Linked DNA regions of Drosophila melanogaster. The protein of the gene in region 1 interacts with the protein of each later gene in a pairwise test. Each region holds a gene or a part of one and is shown in the gene's direction. Other genes may lie near its edges.

The links.
Region 2: the proteins of Mes2 (region 1) and CG6707 interact in a two-hybrid assay, tested with the Drosophila melanogaster proteins (one large-scale study listed by BioGRID).
Region 3: the proteins of Mes2 (region 1) and RecQ4 interact in a two-hybrid assay, tested with the Drosophila melanogaster proteins (one large-scale study listed by BioGRID).

What each region holds. Positions count from the first base shown.
Region 1 is NT_037436.4:22,944,108-22,951,671, forward strand, and holds the start of Mes2 (Mesoderm-expressed 2), read left to right. Parts: upstream 1-1,549; 5' UTR 1,550-1,679; coding exon 1,680-1,833; intron 1,834-1,887; exon of another isoform or gene 1,888-2,077; intron 2,078-2,162; coding exon 2,163-2,463; intron 2,464-6,424; coding exon 6,425-7,283; 3' UTR 7,284-7,564.
Region 2 is NT_037436.4:9,894,301-9,900,383, reverse strand, and holds CG6707 (uncharacterized protein), read left to right. Parts: upstream 1-1,808; 5' UTR 1,809-1,861; intron 1,862-1,947; exon of another isoform or gene 1,948-2,181; 5' UTR 2,182-2,328; coding exon 2,329-2,455; intron 2,456-3,637; exon of another isoform or gene 3,638-3,654; coding exon of another isoform or gene 3,655-3,676; intron 3,677-3,748; coding exon 3,749-3,930; intron 3,931-3,995; coding exon 3,996-4,205; intron 4,206-4,261; coding exon 4,262-4,426; intron 4,427-4,507; coding exon 4,508-4,624; 3' UTR 4,625-5,577; downstream 5,578-6,083. Other genes in the region: nudE, read right to left, coding at 78-231, 300-379; CG46387 (uncharacterized protein), read right to left, coding at 1,216-1,653; Hez (hezron), read left to right, coding at 5,714-5,794, 5,852-6,040.
Region 3 is NT_037436.4:8,170,134-8,177,602, reverse strand, and holds RecQ4 (RecQ4 helicase), read left to right. Parts: upstream 1-1,624; 5' UTR 1,625-1,746; coding exon 1,747-1,848; intron 1,849-1,901; coding exon 1,902-5,071; intron 5,072-5,134; coding exon 5,135-5,875; intron 5,876-5,937; coding exon 5,938-6,113; intron 6,114-6,172; coding exon 6,173-6,489; intron 6,490-6,550; coding exon 6,551-6,784; 3' UTR 6,785-6,963; downstream 6,964-7,469. Other genes in the region: Nmt (N-myristoyl transferase), read left to right, coding at 1-1,177.

The sequences.
Region 1 (7,564 bases):
CGTCCGTTGAACGTCGAAATCTCAGGAGCTATAAGAACTAGAAGGTCAAGATTATGCATACAGATTCTAGAAACATAGACACAGAGCCAGTTTGCTTCCACGCCCACAAGTCGGGCAAAACTGTCACGCCCACACTTTTGAAAACTGTTTTGATATTCTTTCATAGTTTTATTAGTCTTGCAAATGTGTATGGTTTTGCAAAAAAACTTTTAAAAAAGTTTTGATATTTTTTCATCTTTTTTAATTATAAATTTTTATCGATTATGCCACACCCACTATCGACCGTAAGCCGCAGAAACCTGTCACGGACACACATTTGAAAAATATGTTATATCTTTTTTTCACATTTTTATTAGTATTGTAAAATTCTATCGATTTGCTACAAAAACTTTATGCCACGCCCACTCTAACGACCACAAACCTCCCATTTCTTCTTGTCCAATATCTATCGATGGTCCTAAAAAATTATGAAATTTCGCGTTCTCACTTCCACTAGCTGAGTAAAAGGTATTTGATATTCGGGGAACTCGTGCGTTCTCTCTTCTTATTTATTTAAAACAAGAGAGAACAATAGTCGATTACTTTCGACTATCAGATACCCGTTACTCAGCGAATTTTGAGATTTTTTTTGTCATTTCGATGGAAATTTACATTTATATAACAAAATGAAATGAAAATCAAATCCCTTTTCACAACTGAGAGCAGGATACCTGGCCAATAAACGGTTTCATGGCGTCTGGATAGGCTTGCGAACGCACTAACTTGCATGCGAACGGACAGGCGGACAGATCAAGATTATATGTATGTGTGTACTCCAGTAAACTTATAATTATTATGTTAGTCTAAAACCTTAATGCGTTGGAGATTTACAATAAATGTATGTACATATGTACATAGTCATGAATTCTTTAAATTCCTCGAAATTGTTCCGATACGGGAATCGACCCCCCTATATTAATTGAAGCTGATATGGCCGAAGTGCAGCGTATTCTGCCAAGAAACGCTATCCAAGTATTTTGGTACGTATGTATGTATGTACATACATGTGTATATGGTACATTCATGTAGTACATACATACATATGTATGCAAGTACGTACGAACGCTCGACAATTCCTCTGCTAAAACCAAATGCGAACGCGTCAACGGATTTTTGTATTACACACATTTTCTGTTGTTTCGTTCTGCGCGTTCTCCCTGTTGTGTGTGTGTGTGTGTGCGACGCCGCTTTTCGCTTGCTTTTACTTTCTGTGGCTTGTGATTGCGATTAAACGGGGTTTCCATCCGGCGAGTCGCGCTCTAGGCAGCGCCCGGAGAGCGCTTTAGACCTATATGTCTGGATCAGATAACGGGAACGGTGGCAGCGAGCCACGGCCGGAGAGAGACAGAGAGCGCAAAGAGCTATAGCTGGCTCTCATGTCGATGTCGAATGCGCGTGATTTTTTGGCTCTGAATGCGGGCTTGCTGCCAACTGCGCTGCCGGCTCGGCGTCGACGACGGCTGAGCGCAGCCCGCTTGCCGCGGTGGTTGTTATTTTCTGGTCTTGGTTTTTAGTTGCCGTTTAAACTTGGTCGTGAGAGGGTAGCAGCCCCGTTATCAGCCGACCGCGATCGCGTCCGAACTAAAGAGTACTGTGGAGCCCTGGCCAGTTCAAGCCTTCAAATCCTCCAGAACATTCTGATGGCGCCCGTGAGCGGCTGTTTGCCCACCGCCACCCACTCGCTGCAGGACATGAGTGCTGCCGCCGCGGCAATCGCTCTTGACATGAAGCCCAAGTTGGAGCCCCACCCCCTGGCCGCCGCAACTGCCATGCCCTCTCAGAAGATAAAGAAATGTGCGTACACAGATTTATTCCCCACATTCATGCAAACATACGTACATACATATGTATATATGTACAATTTTTATGCAAAATGCAGTCGAAAGTCGATACGTCGAACAAGCAGTAGAATTTATTTTATCTCTTCATTGCCTATTCAAATAGTTCGGTTCACCCTATGTGCAATGTACATACATATACGTACATACGTATGTATGTACATTTGGGTTAAAAAAGTTCGACTTATAGAAGTTTTGAGGTGCCTGTACCGTGCTTTCTTAAAATATTCGACTGTCGAGACTCGAGGACTTATATTATTTGCATTCATTTTTGTGTCCCAACAGTGGTTCGGCGCAACGCCTCCGACAAGCTGAAGCTCATCCAAATGGTGCACGACAATCCAATTCTCTGGGACTCCCGTCTCCCGAATTTCAAGGGCGCCGAAGAAGAAAAGAACCGAGCCTGGGAGCACATAGGCCGCGAGTTCAACGCTCCCGGGCGTCGCGTTGCACGGGCCTTCAAGTCCTTGAGGGAATCCTACCGCCGTGAACTCGCCCACGTCAAGCTAATGGGCAATGGCTTCAAGCCCAAGTGGAGTCTCTATGAGGCCATGGATTTCCTGCGCGATGTCATCAGAGAACGAAAGTAAGTATAAGGAATAGTATTTTAGTGAACTGGTGACCAGGTGATTCTCTTAAATTTAAAACCGTCAAGGAAGTTTCATGCCAATATCGACTCCTGGGGTTGACCAGTAATATAGAGCCCGTTATGAATTTTGCATTCTCTGCTTGACCCATTATTGCCACACCACAAATCATGTCACTAAAAATGATCTTCATCCAAATGGCTTTACAAAAGCAAAAGCAATAATAGAACACGAGAGAAGAGCGCTTAAATTTAAAATTTGACAGAAATACGAGTCATTCTTATAATCGAATAGTAAAGTACATGAAATTCTATATCAACGAATAATTATTACAGAACGTATTGCACTTATTTCCAAGTTTTCTTTTAATCTTTCTAGGCAATATTTACCTTTCCCAAAATGATCTTAATTAACGTACTTATTCTTATCCTCTGCTTTTTGGAGATCGATACCAAAACAAATCTAAAAGTGGAACCGTTATTTCTCAAAAGTAATGCTCCCTTACGACTACAGTTCTTCAATAATATCGTCTTACACTCTGAACATTATTTGTGTCAGGAGTACATTTGGCTACTTATATTACAATGAGTTTGATAAGCCGTCACTAACCATACAACCATCGAACAACGGTCAAAGTTTGGCTTGAGTCGTGAATAACAGTTTTCGGTTTAGATTGGTCTTCTGTTTTGGTCATACACGGATTGATTCATGCGAAACAAATACATGCATCAGTTTGAAGACTAGCTAACTTATACACAATAATAATGTGACTCACCTTTCCAACGATCATTTACATTGGTCGAAGGTATTGTATGCTTTCCAGTCCTGTGTCTGAAAGAGGTTTTTCCGAATCTGCCCCCCTAAAAATATGTGTGCTTGTCAGTAGTCAGTCAAGCGAACAATGTTGTTTAGCTTGGCTCAATCAAAAATAATTATTGCAGGAAATTCCAAGAATCTTATCATTTTATGCGAGTAGCCACTTCAGCTTATGTACACTGAGAAGTGTATGAGTTTGTGAGTCATGGCTTAGATCTAATGTTGGACAAAATATGTCAATAAATTTATTTCAAAAATCATAGAATCACGGACTTCGTAAAGATCTGACAATTTAAATAAATTGAGAATTCGGAAATATGTTCAGATCGAATAGACAATACATACAATTGTCACATAAAAAACATGTGATAAGTTTAGCATAAAGTTATTCGAACCGTAACTACGAAATTCCACTTCCATTCGAGCCTTCGTACAAAACTCATCCCTTAGCCCAGTCGATTTGCATAAACGCCCAACAATTCGAGCAAATCTCAGCACCGTGTCTGAGAAAACATCTGCCCAGCGAAAAAGAATAGCAAAAACAAGGCAAGGGGGCATATGGACACTAAGGAGCGGTAATGTGGAAAAAACCAATCCGAACAAAGGAATGACCGGGCCAGAGACCCGCAAATGGTCTCAGTCGAGAGTCTGCCCCGTCCAATGTTCTGGCTCATATGGAGCCGTGCTCGAGCTGCGGGTGTGTGTGTGTGTGTGAGTGTGTGTACTTTATGTACATATTTATATGAAATAAGGCCATTTCCTTTCAATTGACTGTACCCACATGGGCAACAAGCAGTCGACGGCCCCGACACATGCCCGCGCACACTCACCCATGGTGTGTGTATATATTTAAATTTTTATTATTGTGAGCTGATAACAGACAGCTCAACGGGCCCGGCCAGTCGGGCAGCGCTTGAGCCGGAGCTATAGCCGCAGCTATAGCCACAGCCATAGCCATAACACAGATCTCGCCAAGCGGCGAATATTATACAACGTCGCAGCATCGTCGCTGCTTGAACCAAAAACGAAATTGAGGGAAGCTGCAAACGCAAGACCAAGTCCATCGAATAGTGCTTGCGAGAGGGGTGGGGACTATGGGAAGGCGCCGAGAGAGCGATAAATTAATGAGAGCACTACGAAAATGACAATCAGCACCGAAGAATACGGATTGCGAGTGGACCAAGTTGGGAAAGACTGGTAGCTCGTGAGCGAGAAAGGGGCTGGTAAGGGAAAATGAGCGAGGTTCTGCCTGTGTGTGTATGACATGAGCACCGAACACTCGTAAAGATCGCTGTATGGGTGAGCTGAGTAATTGAACGAATAGCTTGGTCTGACTTCGGCCAGGGTTAAAAATATGCCCACGACCATTAGCCAGCCGCATCGGCCGCGTCCCGGCCAAGGGGTTGCTGAGACCCAGAGTCGGGGTCTGGACGCCTCTTTCAGGCTGCCCTGGCCCACATGCTTTCGTCGTTCAGTCCTCTCTTAATGGGGGGCTCTCGTACCCTCACCCTCACACACACGAGGCCACTTGGGTGTGAAAGTTCTGCTGGGCTCTGTCTGTGTCACGCTTATGATTTAATAAGCAAATGTGCTGCGAAATTGCTGAAATTGTTTGGCTGTCCGTCATCCCCACAATCCGAATCTCGCCCCACGCCCTGAAATCACTGTCCGCCGTATTTCGCATTGAAATGCTTTAGCCAATGCGTCACGGAAGAAGAAAAGTGGGCGGTAGTCCGTGCTTGCCTTTTGATTCTCGTACCTTTAAATGCCTTTGCATGGAGCTAGTTCTTGCCTAATAAATCATAATAAAAAGTTCTAGGTCTGCAAAAATCTAAAATCTCATTCGGACCATTGGAATATTTAATTATGTTATTATTATATTAATATTCATAGATTTGTTTCCAAGTGCAGGTGATAGAGATTTTAGAAAACGAATTCAAACCACAAAAACCCATAAACAATCTCGGAAAACGGCTTGGGACCTAAGCAAGAGCGGAAGCAAATAATGATAAGCTGAGCGATTCAAACCCCGAAAAGAAACCAAGTCAAAATAATGAAGTAAATAAAGCCATTCCCGATTGTGGAACATGTGAAAATGTATTTCGACTCGATTAGTCCTGCGAGTTTTTTGGTCTTGGCTGGCGAGCGAGTATCAGTTTTCAAATTTTACAATTGTCAACTACCTGCAGCCGATTGCGGTGATAAGGCTGTCTTCTAGGTCGCCCATGCCCGTGCCTACCACTAGGCCAGGTCTTTGCATTCGGCAAATAACTATAGGTATGGGGGAGGCCCAAAATAGCCACGTTCAGATGTTCTTTGAGCACCCGGCCCAGGCAGCTGCATTGCCTGTGAAAATGCTCTTGAAACTTGAGACGCGTAAGGAGAGAGACAGGAAGCGATACTACACTGAAAGACATTTATGTTTATGCATTTCTTGTGTTATTGCCTTAAACAGACAAGATTTCAAAATGGGGATATGAATCGTTGAGTCACAGGAAACATATGAACTCTATAAGGCTAATACAATTATATTTTTGTGTGTTTTCGAACTCACAATTAATACGAACATGCTTTCCTTATCAGGGTCACTATCCGATCGCAATGTCCGTCGGCATAAAACAAAGCTAATTAGTTGATGACAACCTAGCAAAGTTTTACGAACTTATTGATTTGTCTTTCAGACTATTCTATTTCTAATTTTTTGCCCAACGTTTTGCAAATGATTATTGCCAGCATTATTTAATATTTTTTTATTTATTGTAATTAATATAATTTAAGATAAGAGAAAGAAAATCTGTTATACTATAAATGATGTGTGAGAGACAAAGAAAAGTATTCTTTCTACTTTTAATTTAAGAACGTAGGCGGTTCTTAAAGTGTATTAAAAACAATGTACATAACCACTAGTCACGGTTATATGTTATTGTATTTAATAAATTTATTAATCTTTTTGTATGCCCTTTTAAACAACCTCCTTCATCAAATTTTTATTAGTATTCAACTTAACATCAATACAAAATAAAAAAATACCGCAGACTTGCTGCGAATATGAATATTGAATATGACGCAAAAGTAAAACCCAACCTTAAACCCGTTAAAATGTGAAATAATTTAGTCTTCTAACATATGTTCTTTCTATTATAGGGGCGCTTCGCATGCAACCGATCTAAGCCTGACAACCTATGGCCATATTAACAATAACAACAACAACAACAACAACAGTAACAGCTTGGCTGCAGGGGGAAAGGCAATGACCCTGAAGCTGTCCAATTCCTTTAACGAGTCCGCCTCAGTGTTAAATCTCTCAAAGTGCTCCTCGCTCAATGTAAGCGACGATCACTACTATTGCGACTACTATGTGAAGCCGGAGCTGGATCTCTCGGTGGGCGGTGGGGCCGGAAGTAGCACAAGTGGGAGTAGCTCCGGCGGCGGGCCACTTCCTCTGCCCGCTCACCAGGCTCACAACGACAGTCGGGTGAGCTCAACGAGAAACGAGCAAAGGGCACAGCATCACAGCTATGAAGACATGGACGACAGCTCGATACGCAGCGGGGACGAAGATATCGCCCACGCATCCGACGTAGTGGAGGAGTTGGATGCCATCGATGCAGATTTCCCTTATCCTCTGATTCTGGATTCCAACTCACGCGGTAGCCCCAATGTTGGTGTGGACGATGTGGTCATGTCCCGCAAGCTTCGCCGTAACGTCGATCAAGATGTTTTGGAGGAAGGAAACGGTCACGGCGATGCGGTTATCGATGGTGACGACTACGAAGAACAAATGCTGCAACAGCACCGCCATCTCCGGCAGCAACAGGGCGTCGCAAGCGGAGGGTTGGATCTGCCGCCCCCACAAACTGTACGTGAGGTTTTGAACTCCAAGTTCTGCGGCTTTATTTCAGCCAAGCTAAACAGCATGGAGGACTCGGACGCGGACAATTTAATGAATCGCATTCTTCTCTTACTGGTTCAAGTGCAGCAGTGCGAAGGGTCCACGAAATAGACAGCGGAGGAGAAGAGCGCTAAGTGTACGGGTGTAATTATAGTAGCCAAAAAAAAGTACATAATGGAATGATGTTGCTGCTCAGAGCACTTATAACTGAATTTTCTTGCCATTATATATTACTTTCCTAAAGAAATACAAATTTACTTGCCAATGCCAAATCTGTGCCATACCAAAAGGATCAATCAAATATGAATGATTTTCTAAAACATTCTCTAATTTTTTCGCTCCTATTAACAAAAATGAACCAAACTCAACGAAAAGACAACACAAAGACGTAA
Region 2 (6,083 bases), about 13 Mb from region 1:
GCTCAAAGCCACATATACGCAAACTGAGTCTAAGAATTAAGCTCAGTTTGTGTAAATCGGGCTTAGCTTATAGCTACCTTGAGAGACTCGTTTTCCCGCTCAAACATTGTGAGTTTGGCTGTGAGATCTTTGATTATACTCTGCTTCTGGTCCAGAGTGGCGTCCATTTCTATTTCCATTTCGCGGGACTGCTCCACAAACTCGTCGTACTCCTGTTTCACGTCTGTCCACCTGAAAATTAAAAGTAAAACTAGGCTATATGGCTGATTTCGGAGACTGTAATAGGGATGGGCACTTACTCTTTGTGGTACTGCTTAGATCGTTCCTTCCAATATCTGCACTCATCTTCCACACTATTGAACATCGGGGGCGACTCCATTTCTGCAAATTTTCCTTAGCTGCTAACTCCTTTTTCTGGTTTTTGTGTACTAATCGGCGGTCAAAATGGGTTTGTAATTTCGTTCGTTCGAATTGATTTAACTTTTAATTTCTGAACAATGCTATGTACTACGGTTGGTCTATTACTGTTTGGGTTATTTATTCGTGTTTTTTGGCTGCTTTGTTTTTAATTGCTGTGATTAAAATGCCAAAACACAGTTGTTGTTCAAGTCGTAGTTTTACTTTTTTTTTGTTTTGTGTGTTGGGGGTGGTGAATAGACTAGAAGTCGGCGAAGAAAAGTGAAAAATCAATTAGGAACAGGTGTTTGCCCTGAATTTTGTAGTTACTGTTGCTGTTGTTCTTGTTCGATGCCCTAAAAGGGCAGTCGGTTTTGTCCATATCAAATGTAAATAAAATCAAATTAAACAAAACTCATTTTTGTGACGCAGCTGCTGCGGCAACAACAACGAAAACAACGAGGATGATGGTGATGAGCAGCAGCAACAACAACAACAACAAATAGCTACGACGAAGTTTCCCATACAACAACGCACTGCATGGAAATGAAATCATCGGTGATTTTTTCGTAGAATTCCAGTGTTTATACCTAGAATTTTATACAGCACGACTGTCCACATTTACTACTTACACTTTGCACTTAATTTTGCTACGTTTTGTTTGTTTTATTTACATAAAATCAGTGTAAATAGTTATGCTCGTAAAAATTTACCACTACTCCAAAAACGCACAAGCCAACCCTGGCTTGGGTTGCCAGTGTTGGCCAATAGATGGGCATTTGCCGTTTCCAGCCCTGGTCAACAGTTGTTATTTGAAATTTAATCAACATATAAAGTTTTACTCGGCTTTTTTTTGCGTTTACGTAGTTTTCTTATATATTCCAAATCATATTTCTCTAATGGACGTGCTGTGAACGTTATCGATTTGTTGGCCGGCGCATCGTTGCTGGTATCGTCCGAAATATGAAACTCAGAGTCGGAACTATCTTCAATTATTTGAGCTGAGCTTAGTGTTAAATCACGAGTGGAGCTGGGAGTTTGTGGCAGTGCTGCAACATTTTCGCCAACTACGCGCATGGGCAGCGCATGATAATGATATGATACATTTCGACAGGATTTGCGGCGTAGTTTGTGTTTTCTGCTTGTTTCAAAGTCACTTGAACTTGTGGACGTGTTATCGTCCCCACTATTTGAGCCTTCCCCGCTTACAGAATCCTTATTGTCAATTTTATTGGAGTTTTTCGTGATTTTAGACATATTTGTTTTAAGCCGCGCTGGATTGTTTTGGTTCCAAAAATGAACAATTTTTCGCTGATCTGTTTCTGGTTCTTTACCAAGTACAACGATGTGGCAACTCCCTGGCAGGGCCGCAACTGAAAAATCTCAAACGGGACATCGTTGCCAGATAGCTAGCCAGAGTGTGGCCAGATCGCAGCGACTGCAGTGCATTTTCAACAAAAATAAGGTAAAATATAGCACAATTATGGCCAGCAATTGTTAAACAATTAACGCAATTGCCAGTATTATAACCAAATGTCAACTGTGTGAGTGCGACAATCGAGCTCGCGTGGGCGTTGCACATGCAGCATCATCGAATTGATTAATTGCGGCGCATGCCGAAAAGTGAAAAAAGGGAGGATGTGTTTCAATCAACGCGAGTGAAAACCGCGACGAACGAAGAAAAAAAAAACCAAACTACTGCGGCAATCGTGAACAAAGAGCTCGTTGCGTCCGAAATTATGTGGCACAGCAACTAAACTATTGGATTTCCCACTCATTTTCCAGTTGAAATCAACGCGTTGCAGCAGCCCCCGCAGCAACAGCAACAACAAAACAAAGGCAACTGGAAGTGCAGCCTAACGGGAATTGCTCCAGCATATAGAGATTATAGTCCACACATATAAATATCCATTTATCGGAAGATAGTCCACAATGGCGGATCCAGAGCGACAAAGCCTGATCAACAAGGACGACGGCAATGGCTACAATTCCGTGGACGCCGTGGACGAGGGTGCCGATAATCCCGGCAGCAACTCATCGGTGGCCACAAACGAGGACGGTGCGTATCGTTACTGTAAAGCCGGGCATTCAACCCGCATCCAATCAGCCGGGCGGGCAACCCATTGGAAGCCCAACAAGTGTGCGGGCGCTCCACTTATCCGGATCCAACGCCGTGATTCCGAGTTGTCTGCTCGCCGTCTCATTTGGCATTTTCACACTTCACCCAACTGAGTCATAAATGCGTGTGGTTTGGTGCGGGGGGAGAGCAATGGGACTGCACAGAAAGAAAAACTGATAGGATATGTGGTGCCCAAATGCCATTTTAAATTATCTGCCATTTTTTTATTTTTTAATAGGGCCCAGTATTATTGGTATTACCAAAAATTTACAACCTAATATAAAATTTTCTTATTGGCCTAAATATCAAATGGGCCACGTACACCATAAAAAAAATGTAATTTTATCACGAAATTGTGAAGAGCTGCCAAAAATGTAAAGATCGATTGTAGTTAGTTACTCGACGCCGGTATCGGCAAAATTTTTGCACCGCCTTTGTTATTGTTTATGCTAGGACGCTCGTAATCAGCGCAAAAAGCGTTCCCCACAGCTGTTTAATCAGCATCGATTCGGAGGTGTTGCTATAGTGGTGGTTAAGCGGGGGCAGTCAATGAGTCCATGAGTCATCATGTCATTCGCTGCCTTATCGCAATACAGGGCGAAAATGAGGGTCTGCGATGAGCAGTGGTTCCATTGTTTACCAAGGAACCTGATCTTCAGCTCGGAAAAAGCTTGTCCATATCATTAATATATACAAGAGTTTAGTTACAAGGGCTTTACGACTTTCCATGTTCCCAATTAATTTGCATAGGTTATCTTTCTGTATTCCTTTCTTTTTGACATTATATATTTATTTAGCCAAAGTAATATGACTTTATTTGCAATTTATCCACTTCATATCAATTTTCCTAAAGAGTGTGTGCGATGTTACTCTTTGCGTTGTTTTCATTTAAAAACGTCTTTCACAAAGTTCGAACTTGTTTTGATCGAGAGACGAGAACCACAACTGCGGTCTAGTTGCACTAGTTTAATGCTTGTACGAGAAAGCTGCATTCATAACGCCAAAACATTGACCCATTTGGTTTATCGCAGCTTCCCAGAGCCACACACTGCACACTATCAGAAAATGCAGTTCTCACTCCCTCCATGAGCCAATCACCGCCAGATGAGCAGTGTGGTTGAGCGAACTCTGCTGGCGAGATGTATTTATTCTACACCAAAGGTCTCGCCTTTGAAGGGCATGGGTCTTAACAATATTATAAGTAGTTAATAATACTTTGCAATGGAATTTTAGGCAATGGAGCACCGACCGCAGTGCCTTGCATTGGACCCGATGAGCTGCCGCCGCCGTATCAGCAGAGTACCAACACCGGAGGCGTCCCGATGGTCACCTGTCGGGTATGTCAACACATGATTGACATCACCACGAAGCGGGAGCAGCACGTGGTCAAGTGCACCCACTGCAATGAGGCTACTGTGAGTAATTCTAAGCAGATTCTTTGAATCCAATTGTAACTTAATACGCTTTTGGCTATCAACAGCCCATTCGGAACGCTCCAGCGGGCAAGAAGTATGTTCGCTGCCCATGCAACTGTTTGTTAATCTGCAAGAGCTCGTCGCAGCGAATCGCTTGTCCAAGGCCCAATTGCAAGAGGATCATCAACCTGGCCCCAAGTCCCGTCACCCCGCCCGTGCCAACCATGCCGGGCATGTGCCGCGTCACTTGTGGCCACTGTTCGGACACGTTTTTGGTGAGTTATTAATCCAAATCACAGCAGCAGGAGTCTTGTAACGCTTGCTCTTACAGTTCAACACGTATCACAACGCCTTGGCCCGGTGTCCACACTGCAGGAAGGTCTCATCGGTGGGCTCGCGCTTTGCCAACAGCCGCGCCGTGATGTTCGCCATCGTGGCGCTGGTGTTCCTCATCACAGGCATCGCTGTAACTATCGGCACATACTCGATTGCTTCGGTAAGCCAAATCAATTTAAAATCAAGCTGAAGTATGTGATTTTCTAAACCCATATGTGTGTTTCCTTTTGCATTTTTCCAGGATCATGGTGGCATGTACTTCCTCTACGTGGCGCTGTTCGTGATTTCGGGTTGCATGCTGGCCAGGTCCGCCTACTATTTCCGCCTTAAAGTGAGCGCCATCGATGGGCCAATGTAAAGCTAAAGCACGGGGCCAGTAGCAAGGAAGAAAGTGCATTGTTTTATTTTTATATATATATATTATTCATATATATCATTCCTTTTGATATTAAATTTAAAACTAAACACAAGCAGCCAATTTGCAGACGGAACATATGAACATTTCTCCAGCAGTTCAGCTACATACAAAAATTCTTCGTTTCGAGCAAAACTAATAGCAAACCTAGCTAAATTTACGAAAGAAGGTCTCCCCGTTGAAGAGCATAATTAGGATATTAAGGCCGTAACTAACTAAACACTATACTAAAAGCGAATATTTCAAGGGTCGCCGTGCAGCTACCATTCAAGTGCTAAAAGTAAAAAAGGAAAACCCCGATCTGTGTTGGCAGTCATTAGTTATTAGACCAGCGACCGATCAATCCACAGTGCATCTCATTTTTAGAATCGTCAGGATCCATTTTAAAGATTGTACAGTTTCGTTGTTTAAGTGTCCGATTTGTTATCCGTTCGTGCCTGTCCTGCAAGATATTTCGGTATTCATACATTACGTATTCGTTGATACGCTTTTGAGTTTTGTGTTGCCTAAAATTTAACCAATGCACTTTTTCTCAGTTCTCGCCAAAGCGGAGGAAAGCGTTTTGTTGCCTGGCGTTAGAAACAATTTGAAGGGTATGCTAATAGTGCTAATGAAGGTACATACACATACGCGCATATACAATACCATAAATACATAATTATAATGCAAATAAACAAAGCAACATTTCTTGAACAACAGAGAACAAGCAAACGCTCATGCAGATATAAAGAAAATTAATTTAGACAGCAACTGCTAAACTGCGAAATTGCATATATATATATGATTAAAAGGAACGGTTTACTTTTGAAATATATATATATATATACAACAACATTTATATTTAGTACATTATAAATTAGCATACATACACTGTAAATAAAAAGAAATAAAACCACAAGCACCACCAACTTTTTGGCGACAAAATGACAAGGCTATGAAAGTAGAATAGAGTGCCTTGAACTTGACATCGGACATCGGCTGGGATTTTCGATTTCGATTACATTTTTAAAGTTTTTAAGTTCCTTGGCCAAGATGTCATCATTGGCTCCTTGCTTTACTGTGGGCTCTATTGTGCGCTGCAAGACTTGTTTTGGCGACAACATTTCGGGCGAGGTAAAACTAAATATTATTTATTATTTTTATGATTATGTAATGCTTTCAATTTCCCAGGTTGTGGCCTTCGATCTGGGCGTGAAAATGCTGATAATGAAGTGTCCATCAAGCAATGGCGGTGGCGACGAACAGACCACTTGCAATGTGACCATTGTGAACCTATCCCTGTGCATGGACATTGAAATAGTAAAGGAAGCAATTCCGCCGGCTGAAGTTCAACAGCCAGAACCGATTGATTTGCCCATGGTAGAAGCACTCTCTATATAGATATTTAAAAGAAACCCCATTC
Region 3 (7,469 bases), about 15 Mb from region 1:
GGCCAGCACCCGTCAGATGGCCAAGAAGTTTGCATTTTGGTCCACACAGCCAGTCACCAAGCTGGACGAGCAGGTGACCACCAACGAATGCATTGAACCGAACAAGGAAATTAGTGAGATTAGAGCATTGCCATACACTCTGCCAGGCGGCTTCAAATGGGTGACACTAGACCTGAACGACGCCAATGATCTCAAGGAGCTGTACACGCTGCTCAATGAGAACTATGTGGAGGACGATGATGCCATGTTCCGTTTCGATTACCAACCCGAGTTTCTAAAGTGGTCGCTGCAGCCACCTGGCTGGAAACGCGATTGGCATGTTGGCGTTCGTGTGGAGAAGTCCGGCAAACTGGTTGGCTTCATCTCAGCCATTCCCAGCAAGCTGAAGTCGTACGACAAGGTGCTAAAGGTTGTGGACATCAACTTCCTATGCGTCCACAAGAAGTTGCGCAGCAAACGGGTGGCTCCAGTCCTGATTCGGGAGATAACGCGTCGCGTCAATCTGACGGGGATTTTCCAGGCGGCCTATACAGCTGGAGTTGTGTTGCCCACGCCAGTGGCCACCTGTCGCTATTGGCATCGATCGCTCAATCCCAAGAAGCTGGTAGACGTGCGTTTCTCTCATCTCGCACGTAACATGACCATGCAGCGGACAATGAAGCTGTACAAGCTACCCGATCAGCCCAAGACGAAGGGCTATCGCCGAATCACAGCGAAGGACATGGACAAGGCCCACAAGCTGCTGGAGGACTACCTAAAGCGCTTTCAGCTGAGCCCGGTGTTCAGCAAGGAAGAGTTTCGTCATTGGTTTACCCCCAAAGAAGGTATTATCGATTGCTTCGTGGTTGCCGACGAAAAGGGCAACATCACTGATCTGACTAGCTACTACTGCCTGCCATCGTCCGTGATGCACCATCCGGTGCATAAGACGGTTCGTGCCGCATATTCGTTCTATAATGTGTCTACAAAGACCCCGTGGCTGGACCTGATGAACGATGCACTGATCTCGGCCCGCAATGTCCAGATGGACGTGTACAATGCCCTCGACCTCATGGAGAACAAGAAGTACTTTGCACCGCTAAAATTCGGCGCCGGGGATGGAAACCTGCAGTACTACCTCTACAATTGGCGCTGTCCATCGATGCAGCCGGAGGAGATTGCTCTGATACTCATGTAGTCACCTTGTCACCTAAGCTCACATTCTCGCCCTGCCTTTCACAGCTCCCCTCCTCCGCTTTCTTCACCCTGCTGGAAGTGCCGTGCGGCTGCTTTGCTTTGCTCCTATTTACGTAGCTATTACCTGTAATCTTCAGTTATTCCAGCGAGGAAAGCCCTTTGCGAGCATACACCTAAATAGCATCATTGTGAAAATTGCATTTTGCAACGGCCAAGCTTCGATATTTTTTACTACAAGAACGAACACAAATTGTATAAAATGCGCAGCAATATCAATAAAAATGTAACGTTTACTTGGACCTTTATTGCCTATAATTGACAATAAATTATTTTGCTGCTCTTTTAAAGATGACAAGTTTTTATTTTTTTTAAGCAGATTATTGTATTTTTGCCCACTGTCCCAGCATGTGATAGTCTGGCCACTCTGTCACATGGCCATTGGTCTGGCAAGGTCGGTGAAAAAGCGCGCGCTAAGCAAAACAGCTGCACTTGTGTTGGTTTATTAGTTAACGAAATCTGATTCCAATGTTGGTTTCCTCATAATATTGACAATTAAAGACAGCCGCCGACATGGACGATTCGGTGTTCAAGCTAAAATACCAAAAGTACAAGTTGCGCGTCAAGGTGTGGGAGAAGGACTTCAAGAAGAAGAATGGCCGTGTTCCATCGAAGGTGAGATTGGGATGCGGATATGACAAGTATGCTAACTGGTTGACCTGTTGCAGTATGATATAAGGGACGCCAGTCAGGAGATTCGGGACTCATACAAAATGTACTACAAACTGAAGACATCCTTCCTGGAAGAGACGCTGAACGATGTTCTCAGCGAAGATGGATACGATATTCTGGAGATGTCGCAGGCCAGTGATTTCGGTGTGAGCATGCTGGACCAGGACGTCAGTCTTAATGAAGGTCCTCAGCTACCGTTGGATATATCTGCACTGGTGGGGCCGCAGAGCTCTGGTAATCTTGAGGAAATTCCACAATCGGTGGAGGGCTCATTCTCAAATCTCATCGACCTGCCCAATCGTCAAGTACTCACCAATCTGGTCAATCGCGATGAAAACCATGTCATTCGCAAATTCGAGGCGGTGGAGGAGCTGCCAATCAACCAAAATGCCTGGGGCTTGAATGTGAGTAAGAAGCCACCAGCTCCACCACAGCCTGTAGAGGCCTCCAAATCCGCTCCGGGGCACGGAAAGCAACCCAAAGCGGGCGCTAGTCTTAAGCCCAGCTTGAGTGCCAAGTTATTCCAATCCTCACGCGGTTTTGCTAAACGAAATCCCCGAAAGCCGCTTTCACGTTGTGTCAGTTCCTCTAGTTCCACCACATCACTTAGCTCAGTTCCTACTGATCATCACGAGGAACTGCTCGACTTTGAGACCATACTCATACGCAAAGCCCAGGAGTACAAGGAGAAGCAGCAGGCCATAGCTAACAATCCAATGCTGGCCAGTGAGCACAGCAAGGAAAGTATCAAAACACTGGTGGACGACGGCTGGCTCCGGCGAAATACAAAGGAAAACACTCTTGATGAAGAAGTGCCCTTTGCGGAAGCAAATAATAACAGTGGTACGTCCAAGAAAACAAACTTTGGCCTGGCCAATCTTGATTTAAGTAAACTAAAGCCCACTGTTAAGGAGGAAAAAGTGTTGCAGGCCAAGCCCGATCAAATGGCAATCATACAGGAGCTGCAAACAGATATGAATTCTAGCATGAACCAGAAACCAGATCATCTTAATCACACACCTCCTGCATCCAGTCAAAAATCAGTCGCTCCTAAAAATAAACCTCCACCTTCCGAGCAGGAAACCGATTCGGATTCCGACTCTGTTGTGGCTGAGAGTGAAGAAGAGCAGGAACCACAAGAATATCGGCAACTATCAAAACGTCGCAAAATTGTTTCAACAGCATCAGGAAAAGTGGAAGTAGCCGCCCCAGTTGAAATTCCCAACAAAGTCGAACCAGAGACAGAAACATTTGCTCAAGAGAATCCAGATTTCTCTGCAGATGAAGACCAGGATGCTACATATGTACCAGAGAATAAAAAGAAAGATAAGGCAAAGCGCAAGCAAGCCGCCGGAAAACAAAAGACCACTAAGCCCAAAGCGGAACCAAAACCGAAAACAGAAAAGAAAGCCAAAGTCAAGGCCGAAAAGAAACCCAAGGCGGAGAAAAAGCCGAGGAACTCTAAAAAAGCCATCGCTGTCGAGCCGGCTCCTGATCCAGAAGAGGATGAGCGCCAACCATTGAATCCAGAAGATTTGAAATACGTGTTGGCCTTGGAGGCGGGAGATATTACCTCCGTTCCGCGCATTAATGTGCAGGATCTAGAAGAAGCGGATGCTACCGCCCAGCGCTATATTAGAACCTTCGCCGCTGGACCCAACCCAGGATTGTCGGAAGGGTCCAACATTCGAGTGGATGAAAAGAGAGCCGCAGCACGAAAGAAGCTGGAGGAACGCATAGCAGCTGGTAAATTAAACGAGAACTTTGTGACCATAAATATTCAAAAGAAAAAATTCGTGCGTGGCAAAAAGTCCGTGAACTTCAGCAAGTACAAGAAGCAACAGTGGCGGCATAAGAAACGAGTGGCTGCCTTGAGTGGGCCGGACATGGATATGGGTGGCTGTGATGGCGGAGTGCTCACGTGCTTCCAGTGCGGCGGAGTCGGGCATTTCGCTCAGCAGTGCAAGGTGAAGGGAGACAGCTTGTTGCCACTTTCGGCACAGCTGGAAGAGGATCCCTCGCCGTTTCCCACGCTTGCCGAGGCTCAGGAGATGGCCAGTCAGGGAGCAGTGGTGGCACACAGTCGCAACATCTCACGGCTGCCCCAAGCGGCCAATGCAGCCATCCTGCAAGGCGATGAGTTGAACGAGTCAGAGGAAGATGACCAAGAAAGCAGCGGAGATGAGGAGGTACAGCAGCATCCAGATCCAAATTGGTCTAGCGATGAAATGGACGTTGATTTCGAGGCCCTAGATGCGGCCGTCGAAGCTTCCCTAAGCCAACCGGTTTCGCAAGAGAAAGCAGCTTCACCTATTAAGACATACGTCGGCCACAAGATTCCCGAGGAGTTCCTCAAGCAGGCTGGACTGGACACCACAGCCTCTAGTTCGAATCGCAGCCAGCACGGTGGGGTGAAGCCCCTATACGATCTCCTTCCGGATGGCAGTGTCCAGGACACGACGCCAGAGGTCCTAGAGGCACTCCACATGTTCGGGCACACCAACTTCAGGAAAGGTCAAGATCGCGCCATCATGCGCACTCTCTCTGGACTATCATCGCTAGTTACACTTAGCACGGGCAGCGGCAAATCTTTGTGCTACCAATTGCCCGCCTATTTGTATAGCCGGAAAGTGGGAGCTATTACCCTAGTCATCTCACCATTGGTGTCACTTATGGAGGATCAGGTGACCGGGGTGCCGCACTTTCTGCGAGCTCACTGCCTGCACACTAATCAGACCGCGCCGCAGCGTATGAAGATTCAGCAGATGATTGCCAATGGGGAGATTGACATTCTTCTTGTCTCTCCGGAGGCGGTTGTCGCCGGGGAACGAGCCACAGGATTTGGAGCCATTCTTCGCCAGCTGCCGCCCATTGCATTCGCTTGTATTGATGAGGCGCATTGCGTGTCTCAGTGGAGTCACAACTTTCGACCCAGCTACCTAATGATCTGCAAGGTGCTGAGAAAGAATCTCGGTGTACGCACAGTGCTGGGGCTAACAGCCACGGCAACTTTGCCAACGCGTGTTAGCATTATAAATCACCTTGGCATATCGGATGGAGAACGTGGTATTATAAGCGACATCCCACTGCCTGACAATCTAGTGCTGTCCGTCTCCAAGGATGAGAACCGGGATGCAGCTCTGCTCCAACTGCTCAATAGCGAACGGTAAGACTTGGCCCACCATCTTTGAAACTTGAAGGAGACTTAAATACATTTTGATCATTCTAGCTTCGAGCCCTGCCAGTCCATTATTATCTATTGTACGCGTCGTGACGAGTGTGAGCGTATCGCTGGGTTTATTAGAACGTGCGTGCAAGACCGTAGGGAGCCAACTCAGGATCAGACGAAAAAACGTAAACGTGTGAATTGGCAGGCTGAGCCCTATCACGCTGGAATGCCCGCTTCCAGGCGACGAACCGTTCAGAAGGCCTTCATGAGCAATGAGCTGCGCATTGTGGTGGCCACCATTGCCTTTGGTATGGGCATCAATAAGCCGGACATACGCGCGGTAATCCATTATAATATGCCAAGAAACTTTGAGAGCTATGTGCAGGAAATTGGTCGAGCAGGACGCGACGGGTTGCCTTCCCACTGTCACCTCTTCTTGGATGCGAAGGGTGGCGACCAGAGTGAGCTGCGTCGCCATGTGTATTCTAACTCCATTGATCGGCATGTTATCCGTAAGCTGCTGCAAAAGATCTTTGTGCCATGTAGCTGTGACAAGGAGGCTTCCAAGAGGACAGCTCTTCCGATTCCCCTTGAAGGTGATGGTCCTAGAGTGCATATGTGTCCGGGACACGAGATTGGCTTTTCCGTGGAGAAAACCGTTGAGATGCTGGACATCCCGGCGGAGAACATATCTACTTTGCTCTGCTACATGGAGCTTGATCCCCGATGGTGCATCAGTGTGCTCAGCTCAGCATATGTGATGGCTAAGGTAATCTCGTATGGTGGGCCAAAGTACTTGAAGTAAGTCCTTTAGACACGTGTATTGTGTATGTGTTTAATGTTATTGGTTTTTCCTTGCACAGGCATGCTGCAAAGGAATGTCCACCATTGGCCATGGCTATTGCTTTGCAGATTAGAGATAAGACATTCAAGGAGGACTCTAACATCATAGAATTCTCGGTCACAGATATCGCGGCAGGAATTGGCTGGAACAGTGGTGTGGTCAAATACCAACTGAAGGATCTGGAGTGGGTAAAAGGTGAGATGGTAATCCGTTCAAAAAAGGATCCGTTTAATTAGAAATTAATTTTTCGATAGTAAATGGATATCCCAAGCGATCGCCCATCACGGTGAGCTTCTATGATTTGGGATTCCGCATCAAGGTGCCGGGCGATTTTACCGAATCAGAGATCGACAACGCTCTGGACACTCTCTATACGCGATCCGTGAAACAGGAGCGTACGCAGCTCATCCAGCTGCAATATGTGGCCCATGGATTGGCTGCTGTGGCCTACAGCTCTTGTGGCCAGTGCTGCAATGCGGATTTTCCGCAGGATCGGGGCGAGCAGCTAAAGGCTATCGTGCGCAACTACTTTGCCAATGACTACCCACAGGATCTGGAGCTGGAAATAGAGGTAATTGCTTGGCAACACATTTCAATTTCTTACTTTTATTGCTTTCCTCTCTGTCCATTAGCCAAGTAACGTGCCGGATGAGAACATCATAGACGACGTTCATGCTCTAATAAACATGTACCCGGACAATACATTTACCGGACGTAATATTGCGCGCATCTTTCATGGCATCATGAGCCCGAACTATCCGGCTGTCATCTGGGGACGCTGTAAGTTCTGGCGTGCCCACGTCAAAGTGGATTTCAATCGCATCCTGCACCTGGCCAATATGGCTATTATCAAGAGGCGTACGTGACCGTAATGTCGGGATGAACCGCCGATACCATGGTTAACCAATTAATAGCTCCAAGAATTTTAAAAATATGTGATGCCATTCAATAACATTTTACTCGCACAAGTCTGATAATACAAAAATAAATTACAAATTCTATATAAACAGCTTTTGTACTTATTATGAGTGGAAAGAGAAATTCGTACGGACAATCTAAATTTTTAGCTTGGTTTTTAAACTCTCTAAATCTATGTGTTTCATTAGCTAATAAATTTGCACCATACAATCCCACGCCAATGGAACAATAACAATTTATGATAATTTCATTGCCGAAAACAACAGAGCACTAAAATAAAGTAAACAAATGCCAAGCTCGTTTAGAGGCAAATTGCAGCTACGGCTTCAAATGAAACAGCAGAAATCAATTCGATGGAGCCCGTAAAGAAACAAACATCCGGCTGAGTCATTCCCAATAACATCACGAAATGTATAACCCCGGTCGAAGGTGTCATCTTCAAATCGAAGCCTAGCCAAAGGTCGTCCTTCCTCAGTTCACACGAACGCGAAGCAAACAACCCAACAAATGGGGGGATCTAACAACAACTCAGGGCACAGACAACTGGAAACAGAGAAACATCATTGAAGTTGTCGGATCAGCGAAGCGTTTGATAAAGGTTTTTTATGACTTGGCCATTTTGTGAGGCCTTTG